Pelodiscus sinensis: one gene and its partners. The protein of the gene in region 1 interacts with the protein of each later gene in a pairwise test. Links are inferred from orthologs where the notes say so. Each region holds a gene or a part of one and is shown on either strand. Other genes may lie near its edges.

Region 1 (7,776 bases):
ACAATAAAATGTGACAGGAAACAAAGCGGTGAAAGAACAAGGATGAAACAGCTCAATTCCACAAATTTTGAAAACTTTTCTATCAAAGTAAGGAATATAACAATGCTGGTCTATTGCTTGCAATTTTTTGTCATGAAGGAATTTTACTTCAGGAGCTCTTATTAAGAAAGGTGGTTAAATATAATAATCTGAAGATTACAAAGAAGTTTCCACACACATAGACACAGGAGTGCTTCCAAAAGCTCCAAAAGCTTTCTGAATTAATTTCCAAAAATATACAAATGAAACATGTTAAAAGAATACATGTGATACATGAAATATTTTTCATTCTTCAGTTTTTTTCCCCCTCAAAAGGTATGCAGTTTACTTGGTTTTGCTGCATGTTTACATAGATACTTGCCTTGTTTTGCAAGCCAGAGAACCCTTTTAACACTGCAATATCCTGTAAATCACAACTTTTTTTTTTTTAAGAGACTGGTTACGTATAATTAAAAATGGATTAGAGTTGTATTATTATCCCTGAGGGACTGAGCTCTGTTCAGCTATTTCCTCTTTGAATCTAAACTAGTGATACTCTGGAACTCAGTGGTTCAGGAGCCAAATTATCAATCAACATTACCCAAAAGTGCCACAGTACTGTGAACTGTCTCTCATAAATAAATAACATTTATTATAGTACAAGTCACACAACAAAATGACCAAATTTTATCAACTACAATTGGTTAACAACATCGCAAAAGCATTCTGATTGGTTAATAACTTAGGCTGGTTAATAATTAAATCACACAGTGCTTTAATAGCACGTGCACATTAGAGAGCCACTTGCAGCTCACGAGACTCATTCTGACAATCACTGATCTAAACCATTCTAATTGCTTGCAGCCCGGAAGAATGAGGACAGAAGACAACCACACAGGAAAGTGTGAACAACAATGAATTCAGCAAATATTTTACAAATGTTTAAAGACTCTGATAGACTTTATAACACTATGTCAACACTAGACCTGTTGCTAAAATTTCCTCTGGGTAGCAGCTGCAGTATATACTGACTGTGCTAGACATGCTGCCACTGGTATGACCACCAATTAAAATGCACAGGAGGTAACAATGGTGATAAACATTAGAGCTAAGGCCTAAGATCTGACCACAGAAAAACAGTATTATCCCTACCACTAGCGCCTTTTTCAGGATCTAGGACATGAGTGTACATCTCTCAACCGATTAGCACCGTAGGAGATACTCAGAGCTATTTATTCCTAAAATCCAAAGAGGACTTTATCATAATCATTATAGACCCAATTCTACCTTCATATCACACAAATCTTGTCTCATTCCAGTTGACATGGACATAAACTGTTGACAGAAGAGAAAGCACTTGAATGCCTAAAGGCAGACATCTAAATCTCTATTGCTGTAGCGATTTGATCAACCCACTTTGGTACCAAATCTGTGCAGTGTTAGCCTGCACTCAGACAAAATTCAACCATTTACTTTTCAAGCTTCCCTAGATATTTAGCAATTAGGTCTAGATCCCAGATTTGTATTAGCAGCCAACAAACCAGAAGAATCCGCCTTCCTCATCCAAAAAGCACTGGTCTAGATTCTCACAAGAGCAGTGCATCTTTGCAAGGATGCCTGGATTCATCAGTGACCAGCCCAGGAACAACTACTTTTCTACTTCTGCCTAACCAGAAGCAGACCTGATGAAATTAAAGGGAAAACACCAAAGCATGCAGAGCCTTAACTAAAGTTTTCCAAAGCACCAGAAAAGCTTTTGTGGGGTAAAAAAAAAAAAAAAAAAAAAAAACAACCCCTAATCCTGCACTGGCCAGGATACCCCAATGCTGAGTTTCACCCTGCGGACCTCCAGCTATCCACAGAAAACAGACCGGACTGGGCTCTAGTGGCTCCCAAGGAGGGCAGATACAAATAAAGAGCAAGAGTAGATCTGCCAAATTGATTCCGCTCAGAACAATGTACCTGCCCCCACAGGACCCCCCCATCCTTACCCACAGATGGAGTCAACCCTCCCCACTCAGGGAGCCCCTCCCGGTCCAGGCGAATGCCACAGGGAGCCCCACACAAGAGCCCTTAGCCTGCCCCACACAGGGAGCCCCTCCTTAGCCTACCTCACCAGGAAGCCCCCCCACAGGGACCCTCCCTTAGATCGCCTGCCTCACAGGGAGCCCCCCTCAGAGAGACGCCCCTTAGCCCGTCCCCCCAGGGAGCCCCCCCATAGCTCACCCACCACAGGGAGCCCCCCTCAGAGAGATGCCCCTTAGCCCGTCCCCCCAGGGAGCCCCCCCCATAGCTCACCCACCACAGGGAGCCCCCCTCAGAGAGATGCCCCTTAGCCCGTCCCCCCAGGAAGCCCCCCCATAGCTCACCCACCACAGGGAGCCCCCCTCAGAGAGACGCCCCTTAGCCCGTCCCCCCAGGGAGCCCCCCCATAGCTCACCCACCACAGGGAGCCCCCCTCAGAGAGACGCCCCTTAGCCCGTCCCCCCAGGGAGCCCCCCCATAGCTCACCCACCACAGGGAGCCCCCCTCAGAGAGACGCCCCTTAGCCCGTCCCCCCAGGGAGCCCCCCCATAGCTCACCCACCACAGGGAGCCCCCCTCAGAGAGACGCCCCTTAGCCCGTCCCCCCAGGGAGCCCCCCCATAGCTCACCCACCACAGGGAGCCCCCCTCAGAGAGACGCCCCTTAGCCCGTCCCCCCAGGGAGCCCCCCCATAGCTCACCCACCACAGGGAGCCCCCCTCAGAGAGATGCCCCTTAGCCCGTCCCCCCAGGAAGCCCCCCCATAGCTCACCCACCACAGGGAGCCCCCCTCAGAGAGATGCCCCTTAGCCCGTCCCCCCAGGGAGCCCCCCCATAGCTCACCCACCACAGGGAGCCCCCCCTCATCACTCCCCCCCAGGAAGCCCCCCCTCAGCCCACCCCCCATCACTCCCCCCCTGGGAGCCCCCCCTCAGCCCACCCCCCCTCACTCCCCCCCCCGGGAGTCCCCCCCCAGCCCACCCCCCCTCACTCCCCCCCCCGCTCACCAGTACTTGAGGATGGCGGTGACCTGCAGCGGGTTGGGCTGCTCGGGGTAGAGGCGGCGGCACGCGCCGTAGATGCCGTGCAGCCCCGGGGGGAAGAGCGCGGGGAAGGAGCCGGGCCCGGGGGGGGCCCCGCCAGGCCTCGCGCCCTCCATGGGCCCGCGCTCCGGGGGGGGGGGCGCTGTGCGGCTGCGGGGGGGGGAGGGGCGGAAGCGGCCCGCGGGCCCAGGCGGCTGCTCCGGCTCCGCGCGCACCCGGCCCAGGCGGCTCCGTCCGCCGGCGGCTGCCCAGGAGGCGGGCCCGGCTGCCCGCGCCGTGACGGGCGGGCGGCTCCGCCAATCGCGGCGCAGGAGGCGCCCGGCCCGGCGGAGAGGCGCGCGCGCGCCCCCTGGCGGCGGCGGCCTGCGGCTGCAGCAGCCCGCGGAGGAGGGGGAGGGGGCGCTGGGGGAGCCCCGTGGAGAAGTCCCATGCAGAGGAGAACGGGCCCTATAGGGGGGCAGAGGGCAGGGGCGGGAGCTGGGGGGCCTGTAGGGGTGAGCAGAGGAAGGGGGAAGCTATGGGGCAGGGAGAAGGCCCTGTGCTGTTAATAGGGCCCTTGGATGCTTCGTGCAGTCCTGGGCCAGTGGTGGGCAACGTGCAGCCCGCTGGGACCTCACCTGCAGCCCACAGACCCCGTCTGCTCTCCTCCCCCCCCCCCCCCGCGCCAGCACACCGGAGCCCCACACTTCCAACTCCTCCCCCCCCCCCCCGCGCCAGCACACCGGAGCCCCACACTTCCAACTCCTCCCCGTCCCTCCTGCGCTTTCGGAGCACGCGACTCCCCTGATCCGTGCTACACCCCAGCTCCTCCTGCCCCCTCCCAGAGCTGGAATGCCACAAATCAGCTGATTCATAGTGTTCCAGATCTGGAGGGGGGTGGGAGGGGAATAGCAGCCAGCGCCTCCTCCCCCCTGCTGCCTCTGTCTCAGAGGCGGCAGGGGTAGGAGGGAGCTGATCCGCACAGGGAGCTGGCTTTTAAGCCGTTTCCGTGCACTGACTCCCACGGAGCTGCCTGCCCCCCCATGTAAATGTGTAACCACTGAAAATGTCACAATCTAGTCAGCCAAGACACTCAGACCTGCAGAGGAGCTCTCTGTACAGGCTCACTGACAGGGTGGGGCAAAGGGGGCAATTACCCCAGTGCCCGGGGCTCTCAGCCACCTCTGCTACTGCAGAAGTGGCGCTTGGAGCCCCAGGCCTTTTCAATTGCCGCCAGAGCCCTGCATGGCATGTTCCGGGCAGCTCTTAGGGCCGGGGAAAGGGTCCAACGTAGTGCCCTCTGGGGGAGGTGCTGAGAGCTGGCTGCCCTCAGCCCCACCCTTTCCACCTAAGGCCGCACCCCTTTCAGGAGTAAGCAGCCGGCCCCCCTCACCTTTCCCAAGGGCCCAACATGACTGTCAGTTCCTCTGTCTATGTAGCTTCAAAGGCTTGTCTCTTCACTAACAGAAGTTCATTCAACTTCAATACAAAGATATTACCTCACCCCCATTCCGCCCCCCCCCCAACTTTCACATCTCCTGGGACCAACACAGCTGCAGCCTGTGTTCCCTCTAATGTTTTACATGCCTGTGTAGAATGAATGTTGTTACGTGCACCACTATGGAGGTGACATGTGGACGGGGGGGGGGGGGCGCTAAGGGGGTCAGGACTGTGGCAGAGGGGGTGAGCGTTCTAGCTGGGGGTGAAAGGTCTAGGATGGAGCCAGGAATAAGGGATACAGGATGCAGGCTGCCTCAGCATTATAGCAGGGAAAACAGAATTCCCCTCAGCCCTCTCTCACTGCAGCAGCTCAGGGCGAGGTAAAAGGCACCTCTCCTCAGCTGCAAGGGGCCCCTCCCTCTCCTTGGCTACAGTAGCTTCAACACCGCAGGGATGCTTCTTCCCATCTGTGAGGTCCTAAATAGCCTGCTGCACTGCTGCACAACTTACAGGGAACTTAGTCTACAGCAACACTACAAATTACATTTATTAAGATAAATAACTGAGTGGAGATTAGCTTTACTGGGATAAATGGAAAGGTCAGCACAGAAGTGCTCACTGTGTGAATGAGACAGAGTGGATCCAATGACCCAGTGCTTAAACACTCTTCATGCACACTGATTACAATTAACTGAAAGCAGCACTCACAAAAAGGACTCTCATTTTGCACAGATGACTATAACTTTCTGCTCAGTGCCAGCAGCAAACAATCAGAATGTTAATAGGATGGATAAAGAATGAATCAATATTAGTACAGTAGCACCTAAAAGCTAAACTCTGAAATGTTTGTAACTCTGAATAAAATATTATGATTATACTTTCAAAAGTTTACAACTGAACTTTGACTTAATACAGCTCTGAAACTCTACTATATAGAAGAAAAATGCTACTTATGGCCATCTTAATTTAAAGGAAACAAGCCCAGAAATAGTTCCCTTTAGTAGTTTACATTTAACACACTGAACTGTATTGGCTTCTTTTTATTTTGGTCTCTGGCGTGGTCTGAGTGCATACTTCTAGTTCCAAAGGAGGTGGTGTGGTTGGCTGGTCAGTACATATCTCTGAGGTTTTAATCCTGAAGTTCTACTGGATTGAAAATATTAGAATGGCATTACAAAAAGAAAATACACCATCACATGGATTATTCAGTCAGTCACCTCAAAGACCATAGAAGAAATTGATGGGGCTCAAAGAGTGATGGAAAACTGATTAAATATAGTAGTAGAAATGTAGCCGTGTTAGTCCGGTGCAGCTGAAACAAAAAACAGGACTGTGTAGCACTTTAAAGACTAACAAGATGGTTTAATAAGTGATGAGCTTTCGTGGGCCAGACCCACTTCCTCAGATCAATTTTCTTCCACTATTTGATCTGAGGACGTGGGTCTGGCCCACGAAAGCTCATCACTTAATAAACCATCTTGTTAGTCTTTAAAGTGCTACAGCGTCCTGTTTTTTGATTAAATATAGAGAGAGATGAAAAAACTTGGGCTACTTACCAGGGATATGATGGATGAATAATAAATCAAATAATAATAATTATATACAAAAGGGAGATTAACCACTGTCATTTCCTCTCTCTCCTAACAGAGACATACAGAGAAGCACTTAATTTGAAAGACAACAAATTGAAAATTGAAAGATTTCCCCTCCTCCCTCATGAACTATTTATTAATCCATGGAAATTATTACTACAAGGTATCACTGAGGTAGAGTTTAGCAGCATTCCAAGTTAAAGAGCTTCAGGGGTATCCAAGTTAGCTGTTACAGGATAAACTTAAAAAACAACAGATAGTCTGGTAGCACTTTAAAGACTAACAAAACATGTGGATGGTATTATGAGCTTTCCTGGGTGGGCTGTATCCAGGAAAGCTCATGATACCATCTACATGTTTTGTTAGTCTTTAAAGTGCTACCAGACTATTTGTTGTTTTTTAAGTTATTCCAAGGTTAGTCATTAAGATGGGTAATGAAAACATCCATAAACCACATTAGCCTGCAAAACAAGGCTTCACTTGTTTTTTATTTAAATTAGGGATATAGTCACTCATCCTTAGGGGAAAAATTATTAATGACTGATAGGCTTAGTGAGACACTTTCCCACAGAGTGGCTGTGTCTAGACTGGCCAGTTTTTCCGGAAAATCAGCCGTTTTTCCGGAAAAACTTGCCAGCTGTCTACACTGGCCACTTGAATTTCCGCAAAAGCACTGACTTCCTACTGTAAGAAATCAGTGCTTCTTGTGGAAATACTACGCTGCTCCCGTTCAGGCAAAAGTCCCTTTCGCACAAAGCTTTTGCGCAAAAGGGCCAGTGTAGGCAGCTCAGATTTGTTTTCCGCAAAAAAGCCCTGATCGTGAAAATGGCGATCGGGGCTTTTTTGTGGAAAAGCGCGTCTAGATTGGCATGGACGCTTTTCCGCAAAAAGTGCTTTTGTGGAAAAGCGTCCATGCCAATCTAGACACTCTGTTCCAAAAATGCTTTTAACGGAAAACTTTTCTGTTAAAAGCATTTCCGGAAAATCATGCCAGTCTAGACGCAGCCAGTAGGTAATTTCATCATAGTTCATTACAGGCTGTGATTTTTTAAACCTTCCTCTGCAGCAGCTGGTACTAGTCAGTGATAGAGAGAATTTCTGGTTAGATGAATCATTGCTTTGATTTAGTATGGTCATTGCCATATTCTCGTAAAGAAAACCTGCAGAGGAACAAAAATACTGGCTCTGTGCTTCACCAATACACTAACATTTTTTGAGGGTCATCAACAAGCATGTAGCCGCAGGGAGCCGGTGGCTGTAGTGCACTTGGTTTTCCAGAAAGCCTTTGACCAGGTCTTTCTTCAAAGGTTCTTAAGTGACGTAAGCTGTTATGGGAGAAGGAAGGTCATTTCATGGACGGGTAACTGGTTAAAAATAGGAAACGAAAAGTAGGAAAAAATGGTCAGTTTTCAGAATGGAGGGAGGTAACTAGTTGTGTCCTGTATAAGGATGTCAAATCCTAGTTAATTAGTTCACTGGTTAAACGTTAGGGGGAGAGGCTGGGTCTGGAGCTGCTGCTGGCTCCTAGTTCCCAGCCCCTGTCTGTGGCAGGCCTGGGCTCCCCGTAAACAGAGACTGTTCCACGGGAGCAGAGCCTGCCTGTGGGGCACCAGGGACCACCCTGGACAGGAGCTGCTCCAGACAAAAACAGCCCCTTTCTGCAGTGGGCCCTCTGTGCCCA
Region 2 (8,191 bases), on another chromosome or scaffold:
GCCCTTGGTAGCAAAACTTTAATTAATTAAATGAATTTTGCCTGTGTAACACATACAGAATTGAACTCACTTTCAGATTCAGCTTTTCCCTTTTTGTATATATTTTAAATATTCTTAAAATGTATTTTAAGATTGTTTAATAGATAATTACAGCTTGCACAAAACTGGAATATTTTTCTCTCATACATCATATCTGAGTACTTAAAACTTTCATTCACTAAAAAGGAATTCTGAATGTGTATGATCTGCCTTTGTATAGTGTATTTAAAATTTGTAATAATGTGCAAAGTGTTAACCCTGAACAGTGACATCTACATTTATATAAATCAAAACGGCGTTTGTGAACTGACACACAATTCAAGATGGAAACCTGGGAGGCTCTTGCTGCCAAAATCACTATCTGCACTCGGCACATGGCTGTGCATGCTGCGCCATGATGCTGCACACAGCACGAAAGTCTGCACCCGGTTCTAGTCTTGCACACAACACCACGCCCTGCTTTGCACTGAGAACCATTGGAATTTTCCCGTCTTGAACTCTATAAAATCTAGAATCCTGAGAAGATCAGGTTGGCAGTTTTCTCACACCACCTTGGAGAAGAAGGAGTCGTGTCACAGAGGAGACCCAGTCTAACCTACCTGATTCTACTCCTGCCGCCCTCAGGGTGCTTCAGTCCACACTGTGGCGATAGCCCAGCATCATGAGCCTTAGCTACCTGATACCCGACCCTACATCATCAGGACCGAATGGAGCCTCCGGCATCAGCTGTGGAAAAGGCCCTCACGGTGTTTAGAATTGCTCTTCGGTTATCTTTCACAAACTGCATGTCTGTCCACTGTGCAAGCAGAGGCTAACATCACATCGAGCGTCTCCCTACTTAATGAAGGACGCCTCAGTGCTCCTCCCCTGACAGCTACCTTAGCTAAAAAAAAGGGTTGAAGGTCCTGAACATCAGCAGCCTTTGATGGTCAAGTATAACATTCTGTTGCTAGTTATATCGTTCCTATCCTTTTTATTTTCAGAGGGTGAGGGGCTGGGTTATTGATTCAGCGTTGTGTTATTGTTATTGGATCAATGCCCACAAAACAGATATCAGACAGGATCACAAAGAAAAAACAGTTTCTTGCCATTTCAACCAAAAAGGACATTGTCTCAACGACTTGATTACCTGCATCCTGCTTTAAAGACCTTTTAAAACTTCACTTAGAAGAGAATCCTCTGAACTGTCATTCATGCTTAAATTCAACACTTTACATTCAAATTTGAAGACACTAATTATCTTACCCATTACAAAGATAGCTTCCCCAATTATCACCTCTAATATCATTAGCTCACAGACATTTACTTCCCCCCCTTCCTCCCCTCCATCCTCCTTCTGTTCTGAAATTTGATTTGTCCTTTTCCTATGTGTTCATTTTTTTTATTTGTATCCTTTGGTATATATGGTTGTGACAATTTTCTTCCACTATTTGATCTGAGGAAGTGGGTCTGGCCCACGAAAGCTCATCACCTATTAAACCATCTTGTTAGTCTTTAAAGTGATACACAGTCCTGTGTTATTGTTACTTATTTGTTGTATATCAATATACCTTTTTGACATTTTAAAATCTGACACGTGTCCTCGGTTATTTTACGGGACTGAGGGAGAATCCGCCGGTGACAGATATGGTGGCTTCCAGGCCAGACCTCCTTCTGGGGAGGAGGCACTTTAATGGGGCACTTTAACATCAGATCAGAGCAGGCCCCATTAAAATTTCACTTATCAGTGCACCTTTGCTGGTAACAAAAGCTTGCATCTTACAATATTGAAGCACTTTACTGAATCCTTATTCCAACTGCCCTTCATATAAGATGTGCTTTCTTTGGCCCCATTACTGCAAAATGTTATGCCAAAGTACTCCAATTAAAGTTAATAGTACTACTCATGCGCATAAAGTGAAGTCCCCACATAAATCTTTTTAGGATAAGAGTCTCTGAATGTTAGGCGTGGAGGTAGGGAGCCTGTACGTGTCTGAATTTACACAAGCCCCTAATTCTGATTGGTGCCACTTTGATATAAACAGCAAATAACAATTTTCATGACATTCAGTGATTCCAAAGATATTTCCTTAGCACCAATCTCGCCAACAGAAGAGCTGGTATGATGTCTCATGCCTGCACATGGCCTTACTGGCTGTAGTGTGTTCCTTTCATTTCAATGGAACTTAGAGGAAGATGAGTGCCTTAAGGTATGTCTACACTACCCACCCTAGTTCGAACTAGGGTGGCAGTGTAGACATACCCATGGGCTATGTCTACACTCCTGGCTTCTTGTGCAAGTAATATACAAATGAGGCTAAGCGTGGAATATCGCCGAGCCCCATTTGCATACCTAATGAGCCACCATTTTTTTCAGAAGAGGCTCTTGCGCAAGAAGGAGCGTCTACACTGCCCCTTCTTGTGCAAGAAAAACCCTCTTGCGCAATGCTGTTCTTCTTGAAAAGTAATAGGTGTAACGGCAATATTACTTGTGCAAGAAGCCGCGAGTGTAGACATAGCCTTAGTGTCCTCAATGCTCAGGACTTCCCTTCTAAGCAATGAATAGCTGACGCTAGTGCGCCAGCCCCATGGGTGGGAGTGGAAGGGGGTACACAAAATCTACTAGGCCTTCCCCACAGGCTCTGGTGTGCAAGGGGGAATGTGAGGAGTGTCTTTCTCCTTCTCAGTCAGGAATCACAGCAATGACTGAGTGGGATGTTTTGTTTCTCACTTGTCTGTGACCCCCAACTGATTTTTCTGTGAGTCAGCAAGCCCCCACCCCTGGTTTACATAAATACAGCCACTTCAGGGATGGTGAAACAACACTTTCAACAACAGTTGGAACCAGGAAAACCAGGGTGGCTGAAAACAAAGAAACACCAAAGTTGTAAGAGAAGCCCCACAAGTCCTTTGATGCCCATATAAAGCAGATACGCCATTGATGTTGAGTCTCAACTGAAAAATACAAATTATTCCAGACTTGTCTCTCACAAGCAGAGAAAGGGGTCAAATACCCCTACTGCATGGGTGGGCAATAAAATGGCAGCAGTTCCCCCAGGGTTAGCCCTGGTGGGCCACTGTCACTATATTACCTGTGCCTCTGCAGGTACGGATGATTGCAGCTCTCATTGGCCTTGGACCACCATTCCCGGCCAATGGGAGTAGCGGAAAGTGGCACACACTGGGACACTGCTTCTCTCTAGGGATGTTAGCTATTGATTGATTGGCTAGTGGACTAACTGCATGAATTCTGCAGTTTGTTGACTATAGTCCCCAGGGGCGGGGCCGACAGCAAAGGCAATCCAGCCCCACTACTGGGGATCCCGCCAAGCAGGGTGCCAGACGGGAGATAGTCCGCGAGGGGATCCGGTTTAAAAATCAGCTCCCCTCGCAGACTGCTGCCCCAGGCTGCTGACTCTGATACCCAGAACAGCCTCTGTCCACACAGGGCCGGCCCGAACCCTTTTGGTGCCCTGGGCCCGGGCGCATGGCGCTGTCCCCGGGCGCATGCATAGGCCTGCCCATGGGGTGGGGGCCCGCCCTCCCAGGGCGCGCGGGCCCATACCCCGGGGTGCATGGTGCATGCGCGCGCTGACCAAGGCCGCTGACGCTCAGCCCCCGGGGCACTCGGCACATGTGCAGGCCGGTCACGGACCAGCCAGCACTGCTGGCACACACACGCCAGGCCGTGAAGGGCCCTGCAGCTGTGGGGGGAAGGGCGCAGCTGGCGAGCACCACGGGGCCAGCGCTGTGGGAGCTGGGCGCACGGCTCCTAATGGCAGCTGTAAGGCCCTTACAGCTGCCAGCAGGCATCCCTCATCGGTTGGCACCCTGGGCAGCTGCCTGGCTCGCCCTGTGTCCGCAGCTGGCACTGCTGTGACAAGAGTTTGCTTTGCTGCAGCTTCCACTGCTCCCCCCACGCTGGGTGGGCTGGGGGGCAGTGCAGCACTGTGTCACTGATGCTAGGGGGAACCGGCTTTGAAGTTGGCTCCCCCGCCCTCCCTGCTGAGGCAGCAACTGGGGGTGGGGAGAATGGGAGTAGTTGACTAGATTGATAAGCCTAGGCTTATTGGTTAATCAACTAGTCAACTACTCCTTCACATTCCTACTTCCAACTGCTCCCATTGGCTGAAAATGGTGATCCGCAGCCACTAAGAACTACAATCGCCTGTATCTGCAATGATGGAGGCAAATATAATGGTGGTGGCGGACCAGGGGCTAACTCTGGGGAACCATGTGGGTTTTGCCCACCCTTGGCCTGTGGAAGATAAGGTGACAGGGAAAGCCAAGTATTTCAGATCCCTGCTCCCCACCTATTATGGGGAACTCGCAGCCCCGAAGAGCCTGCATGCCATAGCTGCCCTGAGCACAGGCTGAGGAGGGCTAACAAGGGAGACACCACTGGCACTGCCAGGCTCCTGTTCCAAGCCCCCAGGGCTAACGACTCTGCTTAGGCGGCAGGTCCCGTGCACCCCCGGAGGCCCGGCCCCGCTCATGGGCAGGGATTTCCCTACACCCCTCCCCATGGGGCTCTACACCCCCATGAATTGCCCCAGCACCCCCCAGTTCTGTGAACTATGGTGCCATAGCCCAGCTTCGCCCTCACGGCCTCCCCCTCATTGGCCCTGCACCCCCCCCCCATTTCAATTCCTGGGGAGGCTCCTGCCAGGGGTGAGGCTTAGCCCCTGCCCGCCCGGCGGAGCGGCTCCCGGCCTGGGAAGGAGCGAAGGCGCCGCGGACGCAGGCAGGCACTGCCCGCCCTCCCACCCGCAGGTGCGCAGCTAGGCCGCGGGGCTGGTGCGGGGCACAGAGCGGCCCCCGTGCGCTGGGGAGGAGGCAGACTGCTCCATGCCTCCCTTCCACGCCCCGCCTCTTCCCGGCCTCGCGCTCCCATCCCGAGTCGGGTGGAGCTGTTCCCTGAAGGCGGTGCTCCCCCTCCCCTCCGCGCAGCTGTTCCCTGTACATTCTCCCCTCCCTCCTCAGGCGGGCTGTTCCCTGTACCAAACACTCCCCCTGGGCCGGAGGGGCGGGGGCAAGGACTGTCCCGGCCGGCGCTGATCTTAGGCTCCCATTGGCCGCTGTCTGTGCTGACGTCACGATCATGATGAGAATTAATGATCGGAGGCGCTGATTTCATTGTGTGACGCCGGGACCGACCCAGCTGAAACCGGCTGAATCCGGAGCCCCCCGGACCAACTCCGCCCGCCCCACAGAGCACGGTAAGTCCGGCGCTGTGCGCGGGGGGCGGGGTATGTATGTGAGTCACGAAAGAGGGAGCGAGAACAAACGCCGAGGCGCTCAGGCACGGCAGCCCGGCCTGGCTAGGGAAGATGCCCCTTGGCTGGGGGCCTACATGTGGGGGAGGGCGGCCGCTTGGGCTGGTGCTCGCCTAGCAAACTCAGGCACGCATGCGCCCTACGATTCGGCTGTTCTGCTGCGGCAGACGTTGGCTGGACCCGTCTGCCGTTGAGAAGGAAGTACGCATGCGCACGACCTATGCGTGCTCGTATGGGCTAATAGTTGGCGCATGCTCCGAGGCTGTGGGACAGGTTGCGCTCGGCTGTACTGACTGCGCATGCGTATTTTCAGTCCGTTTGAGTGATTTCTGACTTCTCCCAGTCGTAGAGCGTGGCGTTGATTGATGCTCCGGGCACGCGCACGTTACTTTGTGCCCTGGCTGGGCCATGGGCGCTTGCACAACGCGGGTGGCCAAACTATTGGAAAATTTTGCGCGTGCGCAGTGAGGCCTGGGCTACTCGTGAGAGCTGTTGGGCTCTGTTTTCTAGCTGCAGTCGCCTAGTGTCGGAGCAGCGCACGTGGGCAGGGGTTGGGAGCGTCTATTCTGGATCCCCTTTCCTGGCTCTGCTGTATAAACAGTCACTGCTGGTAGCACGTGGGAACCTAGGCAGTGGGTGAAACTGTGTACAAGGTCCGTGGGGCCATTCAGTGGGAGTAATGGGGGTGGGGCTCGAAGCTCGTTCTTGTTTCCAGGGCGAGGACGGGGGTTGAGGAGGGCGCAGTGTGCTCACTTGCGGGGTAAGAGAGAAGGCAGGAAGTTGGGCAGATAACAATGCTGTGACATTTTAGCCCTTGCGTGTCTGCTGTTGAAGAGATATGGTGGGTGACATGCAAGTCTCCTGGCCTGTGACTTGGGGTGGTGCTCCGTGCCTGTGGTGGCTTAGGAGCCTCACTATGTCATGGATAGAACACAAATAGCAATAAAGATAATTGCTTTATGCTGCCTTTCAGAAGCCAAAGACATATCGTGTTTAATGAGGCTCTTGATGGTGTAATGTGTTAAGAATATGCACAATCTACTTGTGCTGGTAAAATTCTCTGTAAATGAGCTGACCAATTCTGAGTACTGCATTTGATTCAGTAGGTGTACCCATGTGAAAAGTTATAGATCTACTCTGATTGTTGCAAGATGAAGGCCTAAATAAATACGTTTTGTCAGGAAAGGTTTACTTAAAAATATTTTGACTTACCTATTTTTAACAACACTTTGTTGCAGAAGCTAAATGTCAATCAATATTCTTTAGTGCTTCCAATGAAGATCCTGTTTTGTGGTTTTTAGCAGTTAGTTGCTGATGGAACACCCTCAGAGTCTTAAAATATTTACAGCTCTAGATTTCCATATGTTCCTTTCTATTATTTGCAAGAATTGCTAATTCTGCTGGTTCTTAGTTTATTGTATCAATTGCCCCTTTTCTTTTCACACAAATACCACTGTCTTGTGTAGTAAGTAAAGTAAGAATGGCCATATTAGATCAGACCAATGGCCCATCTTGCTCAATATCCTGACTTCGAACATGGGCCATTACAGGGTGTTGCAGAAGGAATGAACTGGAACAGGCCATTATCAAGTGACTCATCCCTTGTCACATACAGGCCCGTACGTGTGTGTGCAAGGTGCGAATGCATGCCCCCCCCATGATCACCCAATTAAGTCTGAGGGGCATTCTGCAGCTTGAGCTCAGTCTCCTTCTTCCCCCCCAAAGCAGAGAGCCTGTGCTGGCACTCCAGCCTTCCCCCCCCTCCTCTGCCCTTCCCCCCCAGGTTGAATTGCTAGTGTCAGCTTTCCACTGGGGATGGGAAGAGGTGGAGAGAAAGCCTTGCTGTGTGATTCAGCTCATGGGGAAGAAACCCTCTCCCTCCCCCAGCTGGGGGGAACAGTAGTACACCTATGTGCTGCCTGGAGGCTTTTCCTATTGCTCCCATTGGCCGGAATCCGACCAATGGGAGCAGCAGGAGGCCATGTCTGGGACTGGTGTGGCATGTGAAGGCAAGTAAGTGGCCTCCACCCCCCTCATGCCAAGACTCCCACACCTGCAGCCCACTCATATGCCCCCACCTCCTGCTGAGACCCATCCCCAGCCTACTCCTGCACCCTGGCTGGATATCCCACCCCAACCTACTCCTGCACTCTCCCCTGCTCCTGGCCAGACACCCTATCCCCAGCCTACTCCTGCACCCCACCACTCCCTGTCGCTCCTGCACCCTCTCTCCTGGCCATACACTGCACCTTCCCTTGCTCTTGTCTCCTGCCCTTACCCAGACACCTTACTCCCAGCCTGCTCTGGCACCCTATCTCCCATCCAAACTTTGCACCCTCATCTATTCCTGCACCCCATCTCCTGCCAAAACCTTGTACCTTCAACACCACCTACACCCAACCTTCTGCCCAGATCCTGCATCCCCATTCCTGTGGTAGAGATGTAATAGTATAATTGATTAACCAATAAGAAAAAGCCTATTGGTTAATGCTATAGACTACATGCATTTCTCCCCCCCCCCCCCCCCCGCCCCCCAAGTATATTTTTCAGCACCTGGCTAGCAGCTCAGCTCAGTCCCTGTTTGCGCTGGGTCAAGGACCTACCCCCCCATTGTGGCTCTGCATTTAAAGTGTGTTAGGAGCCAGGCAGCCCAGCTGACACTGGATCCGGAAGCTCAACCTCCCCCCATTTCACCCCGGTCAGAGGTTACTGTCACCCCACGCTGCTGTCTCTGTATCAGAAGCAACAGCGTGGAGTGACAGGCAGCCGATCCGTGAGGGGCACTGTTTTTTAAACTGACTCTCCTCGCAGACAAGCTCTCACCTGGCATCCCACGCTGCTGCCTCTGATACAGAGGCAGCATCCTGGAGTGGCAGGAGCCTCCTCTGGAGTGGGGC
Region 3 (7,409 bases), on another chromosome or scaffold:
TCTCAGAATTTTTGCTGTCAAGGTCAGGGAAATATGAGACTGGAGTAGAGCTGGTCAAAACATCTCTAATTCCAAACATTTTCAACAACAGAAGGGACAGATTTTTGTGAAAGTTTTGTGGAAAATGGTATTATTTTTTTTGACCAGCTGTGGACTAGAGACCAATTTAAAGGGTCAATGCACCCAGTGACAGCATCTAATTATAATTTCCAGCATGAGGCACCTAACACAAAGATTTTTCTGGATCTAAAAGTCATAACTTGAGAGCATGACCAGGCCCTAAAGCTTGAAGATCTAATTTTCAACAGCCACACAGCATGATTCTGTCTTAGTGAGGCAACTAAATGAGGTCATGGATGTATAATAGATTCTATTTTCATTTCCATTAAAGCAGTCTTATTAGATGTGTTCTCAACAAGGGAGAAAAAATGATGCTTTGGAGAAAATAGATCTGATTTGCTAGACAAGAGCTTAATTTTCTGAAAAGCTCCATTAAGCCATCTTAGGCTCCCAATAAGCGTGTGTAATATCTAATAAACTTAATTATTCAAATAGCATGGCTTCTCCTATAGTAATGTCACATACACTATGTATTGGCATTAAACTGGGCCTGACTGACTATATGGTTGGCTGTTCAGCAAAGCATTCTGGATGGCTGTGTCTACACTGGCAATTTATTCCGGAAAATCAGCCGCTTTTCCAGAAAAACTTGCCAGCTGTCTACACTGGCCGCTTGAATTTCCGGAAAAGCACTGACGATCTAATGTAAAATCATCAGTGCTTTTACGGAAAAACTATGCTGCTCCCGTTCGGGCAAAAGTCTTTTTCCGGAAAACTGTTCCAGAAAAGGGCCAGTGTAGACAGCACAGTAGTGTTTTCCGCAAAATAGCCCCGATCGCGAAAATGATGATCGGGGCTTTTTTGCGGAAAAGCACGTCTAGATTGGCCACGGATGCTTTTCTGGAAAAAGTGCTTTTCCAGAAAAGCGTCCTGCCAATCTAGACGCGCTTTTCCGAAAATGCTTTTAACGGAAAACTTTTCCGTTAAAAGCATTTCCGGAAAATCATGCCAGTGTAGACGTAGCCGATATGTTTACCTGTCGATGTGCTAACATGTCTAATCTGGTAATTTTTAACTAATTTAAATGGCTTGCATAATATATAGGAAATTTAGGCCAAACTTTGGATGTGATGTGGAATAGTAACACATTCCATCTTGCTTCAAATAAGATCGCAGTCTCTTTGGGGCAGGCACCATCTCTTCGTATGTCTTTATACCGTGTGTATCACAATGAGGCCTCAATCCTTGATTATGCATTTGTGTGCTACCATAGTGCAAGTAGTAAATCATAGTGTTTGAAAACCCACTTACAGTAGAGCTAATAGGCTTCATGTCAGCATCTCTGAAAATTGGGGCCTGTTGAATCATTGGTTTAAAACAGTGATGCTTTATTTTCATTACATGGAGACACTAAAACAGACAGCTTTTCAGGGAAGTCAGATTTAGTTCTTGACAGTTGTCAGTGTTTTTTAAGCTGATGCTCTGTCACTGAGGTTTTACACCATACACCTTATTGCTCAGAATGTTTGTTCTATTGCTTTTGTAGATTTAAGTCATAAATGTACAGTGCTCAGACCTTATCTGGCAAATATCCTTATTAATAAAAGTTAGTTCATTGTATAAATCTATAATAAACACATTTGCACTGGCTCTAATGTAAATGCAGGAGAAGATCTCATTAATTCTTAGTGATGGAATCTAATAATATAACTTAATGGAAAATTCTGGCATATGGTATCAATAAAAATATAGTCAACACAGTAGATTACTGTGAAAGTGTTTTTTTTTGTTTTGTTTTGTTTTGTTTTGTTTTTTAAGGCCAACAAGTAAGTTCTCCTTACATAAGCTATAAATGTTCCTTGAATTGTTTGTGATTTTAATGTGGTTTTGAAGTGAAGCATATCTTACAAATACTTTCTGCATAAAACCACAAATATACTACATCGTGGCTACTCATAGATTTAATCCATTCACTGCTGAAACATCCATACACATAGCAATAAATAGACTGGATAACAATGTAAATGTATGGGAACTATTGATGCATTAATATCTTGAGTTATTTGCATACACCAAGGAAACTTTAAAGAAAATAGCATGGAAAAGTACATCCTCCTTTTGTATATTTCCAGACTTCCTTTAATATACAGAAGTAAAATGAGGCCAGGCTAATAGCAAAAGAGAGTTGGCTCTAATGAGGACTCACTAGCCATAGGCTCAAGACTGGATGAAGGAAACTGTGTCCTACGCACAGCATGAAATAAGGATGGAGCTTCTATTGGGGACCTCTTCTTATGCTAAGACTCTGCCTCACATTTGCAATGATCTCTCCTCCCTCCCAGACAGACAGGGGCAAATACCTGCTGCTTCCCCTTCCAGGAGCAACCAGGTGAGGAACAGGGCAGCTCTTTGCCATTCAGAGGGGCAGGGGCAACAGCAGTTGGGGGCATACTTGCTTAAGTCAGTGAGCTGGGCCTGCTTGTAGTCTTCTGTTACCTACAACATTCTGTGTTTGGGTAGTGTAGGCAGTGCTTCTAGAGGACTGGATCTTGATAACAGTCACTGAGATAATATGGGGTAATTCACTTCTCTCCGAATTACTGTTTCATGCTCTCAGCATACTTAAACAGGATTACATTGGTTACACAATAGTCACATTTTCTTCACAATCATGAGGATTTTTTTTTAATTTCAACAGAAACAGAAGTTCTGTTATTATGTGATCCAAGGAGCTGAGTTCCAACATGCAGGTGTGTTCCATCCCTGGAGGTGTGCTTTACCCTTCCCTGCTCAGACAACTCACCTCTGTGATAGGTAAAATGTCAGAAGAAAAAATGGTATTTTTCATTTTTTAAACCTTATTTTTCACATTGCCATATAATACTCTCTATATGTAATAGTCCTTTCCTGGGTGTCGGTGAAGAGTAAAAAATATTGTGAGACCAGTCATGAAAATCTAACAGAATTGACCAAAAGTCTGTAAATAGAGGAGGTTTAAATATCAGTACTCCAGTGATAATATAAGGTGATGTGTGCTACTACTTGTATGGACTGCACTCGAGACACTTGCAGTAAAAAGTATGCATGACTTCCTGTGGGGCAAGCCCCAGAAGAAGACAGACACTGACTCAGTGTAAATTAATTATTTCAGATGAAAGACTATCCAGATACTAATGTGTGTTAACATCACCCACCCCAATTCCATCTCCTAAGAGAATGAGTGGCAGAGTAACCCAAAGGGAAGTGAACTTGACCTTTCTGTGCACAACTATTCTTGGTTATCAGGAGAGTCAGTCTCCCCTCATATAGTCACAGCCGGTGGGAGTTGCTAAAGGACTCTTCCATAGTTATTAAAAGATGGAAAAGGGGGCTAGATTCAGGAGTGCTGGCAAAAGAGACTGAACTTTCTTTCCTAGTCTCACTTGCATCAAAGTTATAAACAGGTAATATCCTCATCAGGTGATATCCTTATTCACTAACTCCAGTGGCTACATTGTTTTTCTTAAAACTTCTGTTCTAAAGACAGAAGTTTGGAATGTTAGAAGTATCCCTGATGGAGCAGTGGGCAATGTGCTGCTGGTGATAAATTTAGTGGGCATAGTGCATAGGAAGAGGTCACAGGCACATTGCAAATTATCACATGGCTTTACAGTTCTTTGCACATTAGTGGGCTTCATTCATCCCTGTAGGTGCAGAATTTACAACCTCCACTGTCTGCGGAGGCAGCTGCATACACAACACCACAGCTACTCTTTCCTGGGGATTCAATTTACAGCAGATCCCATCACTGAGAATACATGATGGTTCTGCTCTGATGTACTGCTCCCAAACTCCCAGCAAGCTGATTTTATGCTTCTCTAAGGAATGACCCATACTGGAATAAAGACCATTTTTAAAAAAAATTAGCTAGCAGACAAAGATCAGACAAATTTAACAGGTGTTAGCAGCGGTATTCATGCTGATGTGTTAGTATGCCTCTTATCCTGACATAGGCAGGTCCTAATACAGACTGTTACAACACCTCTCCCAGGTGTGTTTCATCCACTTCCTAAACTGTGCTTGCCTGATTTGCCTTGCACAGTACCAGCCTCCTGGTTCCATTGGCTAACCCTAGGGTGAATCAAATACTGTGTAATTGTGGGTATGCAGTATAATAGGAAGAGGATTTGATCCAGTACCTTGGTTCCATTGAGAATCTGAACCAGAATCTAATTTTACAGCTGGATTTAGATTTTTAATGGATTGAACCATAATCCTGGGCAAATACCCCTAAACTCTTTGGGGCAGGGTGGTCTGAAATCCAGCCAGGGTATTAATCTGGCCCTTTCGGTGGGATGTACTGGGCTTTCGATGGTCTCTCTGTGTTTCCAGAATCAGGAAGCGGCACAGGCAGATTCTATGGAAACTGATCCAGCCTTATTCACACCAAATCAAGTACAACTATGAAGAATGCCCAGGAAGGCAGGGAAGTGTCACCAGCCTGTCAGTCGCCTAGTTTCTCTTTCCCAACCTCCCTCTCTGTGTGTGAGTCAGAGTGAGTGCTGAGGGGGAGAGAGACACTCTGCCTTTGAATTAGCCAACTGGCTGACCAGGAGTTACCCGCCCCTTTGCCCCCTCCCTCCCTCGGCTCTGGCACTCGGGAGACTGCTGGCTGGCGGCCCTTAAGCATTCACCCCCCCTCCCCCGCCTCCTTCCCTGCACTGCAGTCCCTCTGTCCACACAGCACTGATACAACCAGCGGAGAGCACGGGCAGCCCAATTCCTGCGCTGGCAGCAGCCTGGACCCCCCTCCTCCCCAAACAAGTCTGGAGAGACAACACTTCCCTCCTCCCAGGAACAATATGACAGCAGTGAGCTAGCAAGGTCGCCAAACAAGTCAACTTCATCTTCCTCAGCCTCTCCTACGGGCACTGACTGCGGGACACGGCAGTGAGAGGCGAGCCCTCGAGTTTGGTCAACCCAGATTTCCCAAGAGAAAAGAGAAAGCTCCTCTCCCCAGCCCTCGCTTGGCATGTCTCTTCCCGAGCCCTGATGGAAACTGTTCCTGCTCAAGTGGAGGACAGCCTCTCTCAAGTGTGTTTGAAGGGAACCAGAGTTGCTTTTCTTTCTTCAGCTCTCTCCTTGCAAGTGCTGGCTGTCATTCTTGCCTAGAGGAGAGAGGGGCTCTGCCTGGAGAAGGAATATGCACCTTGGGCTTTGTTGTGGAAAACCTGGTTACCTGGTAAGTGGATGCTGCCATAGGAACTTTGCTTGCAGGCGCACGCACACAAAAGTAAAAGCTGATCTAACCATCAAACCAAGCTAAAGAGCCTCACGTTAGCCAAAACACCACGGCGGCAGCAGCAGCAGCAATCCTGTGGAGTCTAAACTGTTTTGTATACACACTCTCCCCCTCCCCTGCTTCGGGGGAAATGTATTTAAGAGGGGGAAGGTAGAGTGCGCTTTACTTGATCAGCTGAGCGGGGAACAGAGTCCAACTTCCCACAGGGATTCTGAAATGTAGCCCATGGCTGTATGTATAGAACGACAAGGTGTAACAACCAAAGGGGCTGTGCTTTAATCTGACCACGGCTGGGTGTGAGATTTACTTGCAGGAGGGGCGAGGGGTTAATTGACAAGAGGTGAGGCTCGTGCGATCTTACGGACAACGCAAAAGCTTGGTAGTTTGTCAACGACTGTAGTAACTAGTGTAAACTTTCGACCTAAGGGGACTTAAGAGAAGAATAGGAAAGGGGTGAATGAATGACGCGAGGAATGCTGTCTCATAAGTACTGTGGACGTATATGCAGGCAATTCAGTCTTCATTATTTGTTGTTTATTTTAAGTGTAGCCGTGATAGAGCTTCATTGCTTTATACAGAGAGCGGGCGTGTGTAAATGTTGGAGTTGGTGTATGTACACACACCCAGCAATTATATGTAAGACCCTTCAACGCTCTGTTTTTGTCAGCTCTCCAGCAAACACATGCTTTTACATTTTGTGCGTGTCTAGTGTCAGATACCGTTCACATGTCTCACTCCCGCTGTACGGGACTTGATCCTGGTTCTCGGCTCCAGTCCTGTGAATTATCCGGTGTTTTTCTGCGAGCCGCCTTTGGAAACCATGAGTCTGCAGCTCTTTTCTCAGGCTTTCCACGGTGTGTTTGTTTGTTTGTTTGAAATCCTGTGGTGAGGTTACTTCGAAGTTACTCACTGTCTGCTCTTGAGCTGGAGAAAGAGCGATGTCTGGAAAGTTGGAACAGGTATTCTCTGACTCCGGGAGATTTGTCATCCTGCTGATGATTAAGCCGAGACTTAATTCCTCGAGGAGGAAATGAAGGACTTTGCAAAGGAAATGACCGTGGGATGCTGTCCCCTGAGTGTGTGTTGCAGCCAGAAAGTAGAGTAAATCGCTTCGTTGAAAGCCGGGCTGGCTGCAGCGAGGCACATGTCTCCTCTTTCCCCTTAGGCAGCTGACTTTTTTTCTCTCTGCTCTCCTGAACAGCCGTATTCACAGCAGCGCGGAGAGGAGAGGAGGGCTCGCAGCACCTCGGGTCTGCGTAGCCGTGGGCAGCGGCGTGAAATCCACCTGAGCGGTCCAGTCCGTTTCCCCTCCTTTCCGCCAGCCTCAGAGGCAAGTTGAAGGCTGAGCCCTGGTAGCTAGTTCCCGGGCGCAGCAGCCAGCGGTGCTAAGGAGCCGCATCCCTGCTTGGAAAGTCTCGGGAGGGGAGAGCTGAGAATAGTGTCCCGGCACCCAGCCAGGGAAGCTGAGGGAAGAGCCCTTCTCCTCCAGCAGGGGGCAGTGGAATGGGAGAAGCAGGTGAGCTGGGAGCTCCAATGGAGTCCAGCTTGAGGAGTGCTCCCACTCCAGGAGAGAGGAGTGGAAGAGGGTAAGGGTCTCACTGCAGCTAGGTTTGGTGCTGGTATTTCAGCTGCAAATCACAGACAAGGGGTGAGGAGCCCCACCCGGCACACCATTGCGCCAATGATTTTAGGAAAGGGGCTGCAGGTGGTCAAAATAAAGGGATGAGTTTCAGTGGGAGCTTTTTTTTCCGAAAGCCCTCCTGAAATAGTGTTAAAATCTTACAAATCTTCTCCCACCTCTCCTTAGTTCTGCCAAGTTTGGTCCCTTCCACCTGCAGATACTTTGTGGTGTCTCTCCAGAGGATAAAAATCTCCCCCCCTGGAAAAACAAAACAAAACAACAGCCCTGCATTTTCTGTAGTACAAATGCAGCCACCAGTGTCACTCACACCAAAGACAGACCACACAGCTATTTAATGCTCACTAAAGTGACAACTTAATCTTCAGCCTTTTTGTGTCACTTGGTAATTACAATTTAGCAAAGTTTAACAAATAGAAATTTCAGTTC

What was found.
Region 2: the proteins of SUFU (region 1) and HDX interact in binary tests that used the Homo sapiens proteins (3 or more experiments, as listed by UniProt). The link is inferred for Pelodiscus sinensis from reciprocal best matches to the Homo sapiens genes SUFU and HDX.
Region 3: the proteins of SUFU (region 1) and GLIS3 interact in binary tests that used the Homo sapiens proteins (3 or more experiments, as listed by UniProt). The link is inferred for Pelodiscus sinensis from reciprocal best matches to the Homo sapiens genes SUFU and GLIS3.

The regions. Positions count from the first base shown.
Region 1 is NC_134718.1:72,981,306-72,989,081, forward strand, and holds the start of SUFU (suppressor of fused homolog), read right to left. Parts: upstream 3,234-7,776; 5' UTR 3,201-3,233; coding exon 3,049-3,200; intron 1-3,048. UniProt on the Homo sapiens protein: Negative regulator in the hedgehog/smoothened signaling pathway. Down-regulates GLI1-mediated transactivation of target genes. Down-regulates GLI2-mediated transactivation of target genes. Part of a corepressor complex that acts on DNA-bound GLI1.
Region 2 is NC_134723.1:15,990,690-15,998,880, forward strand, and holds the start of HDX (highly divergent homeobox), read left to right. Parts: upstream 1-5,013; 5' UTR 5,014-5,237; intron 5,238-8,191.
Region 3 is NC_134716.1:29,311,833-29,319,241, forward strand, and holds the start of GLIS3 (zinc finger protein GLIS3), read left to right. Parts: upstream 1-4,375; 5' UTR 4,376-5,281; intron 5,282-7,409. UniProt on the Homo sapiens protein: Acts both as a repressor and an activator of transcription. Binds to the consensus sequence 5'-GACCACCCAC-3'.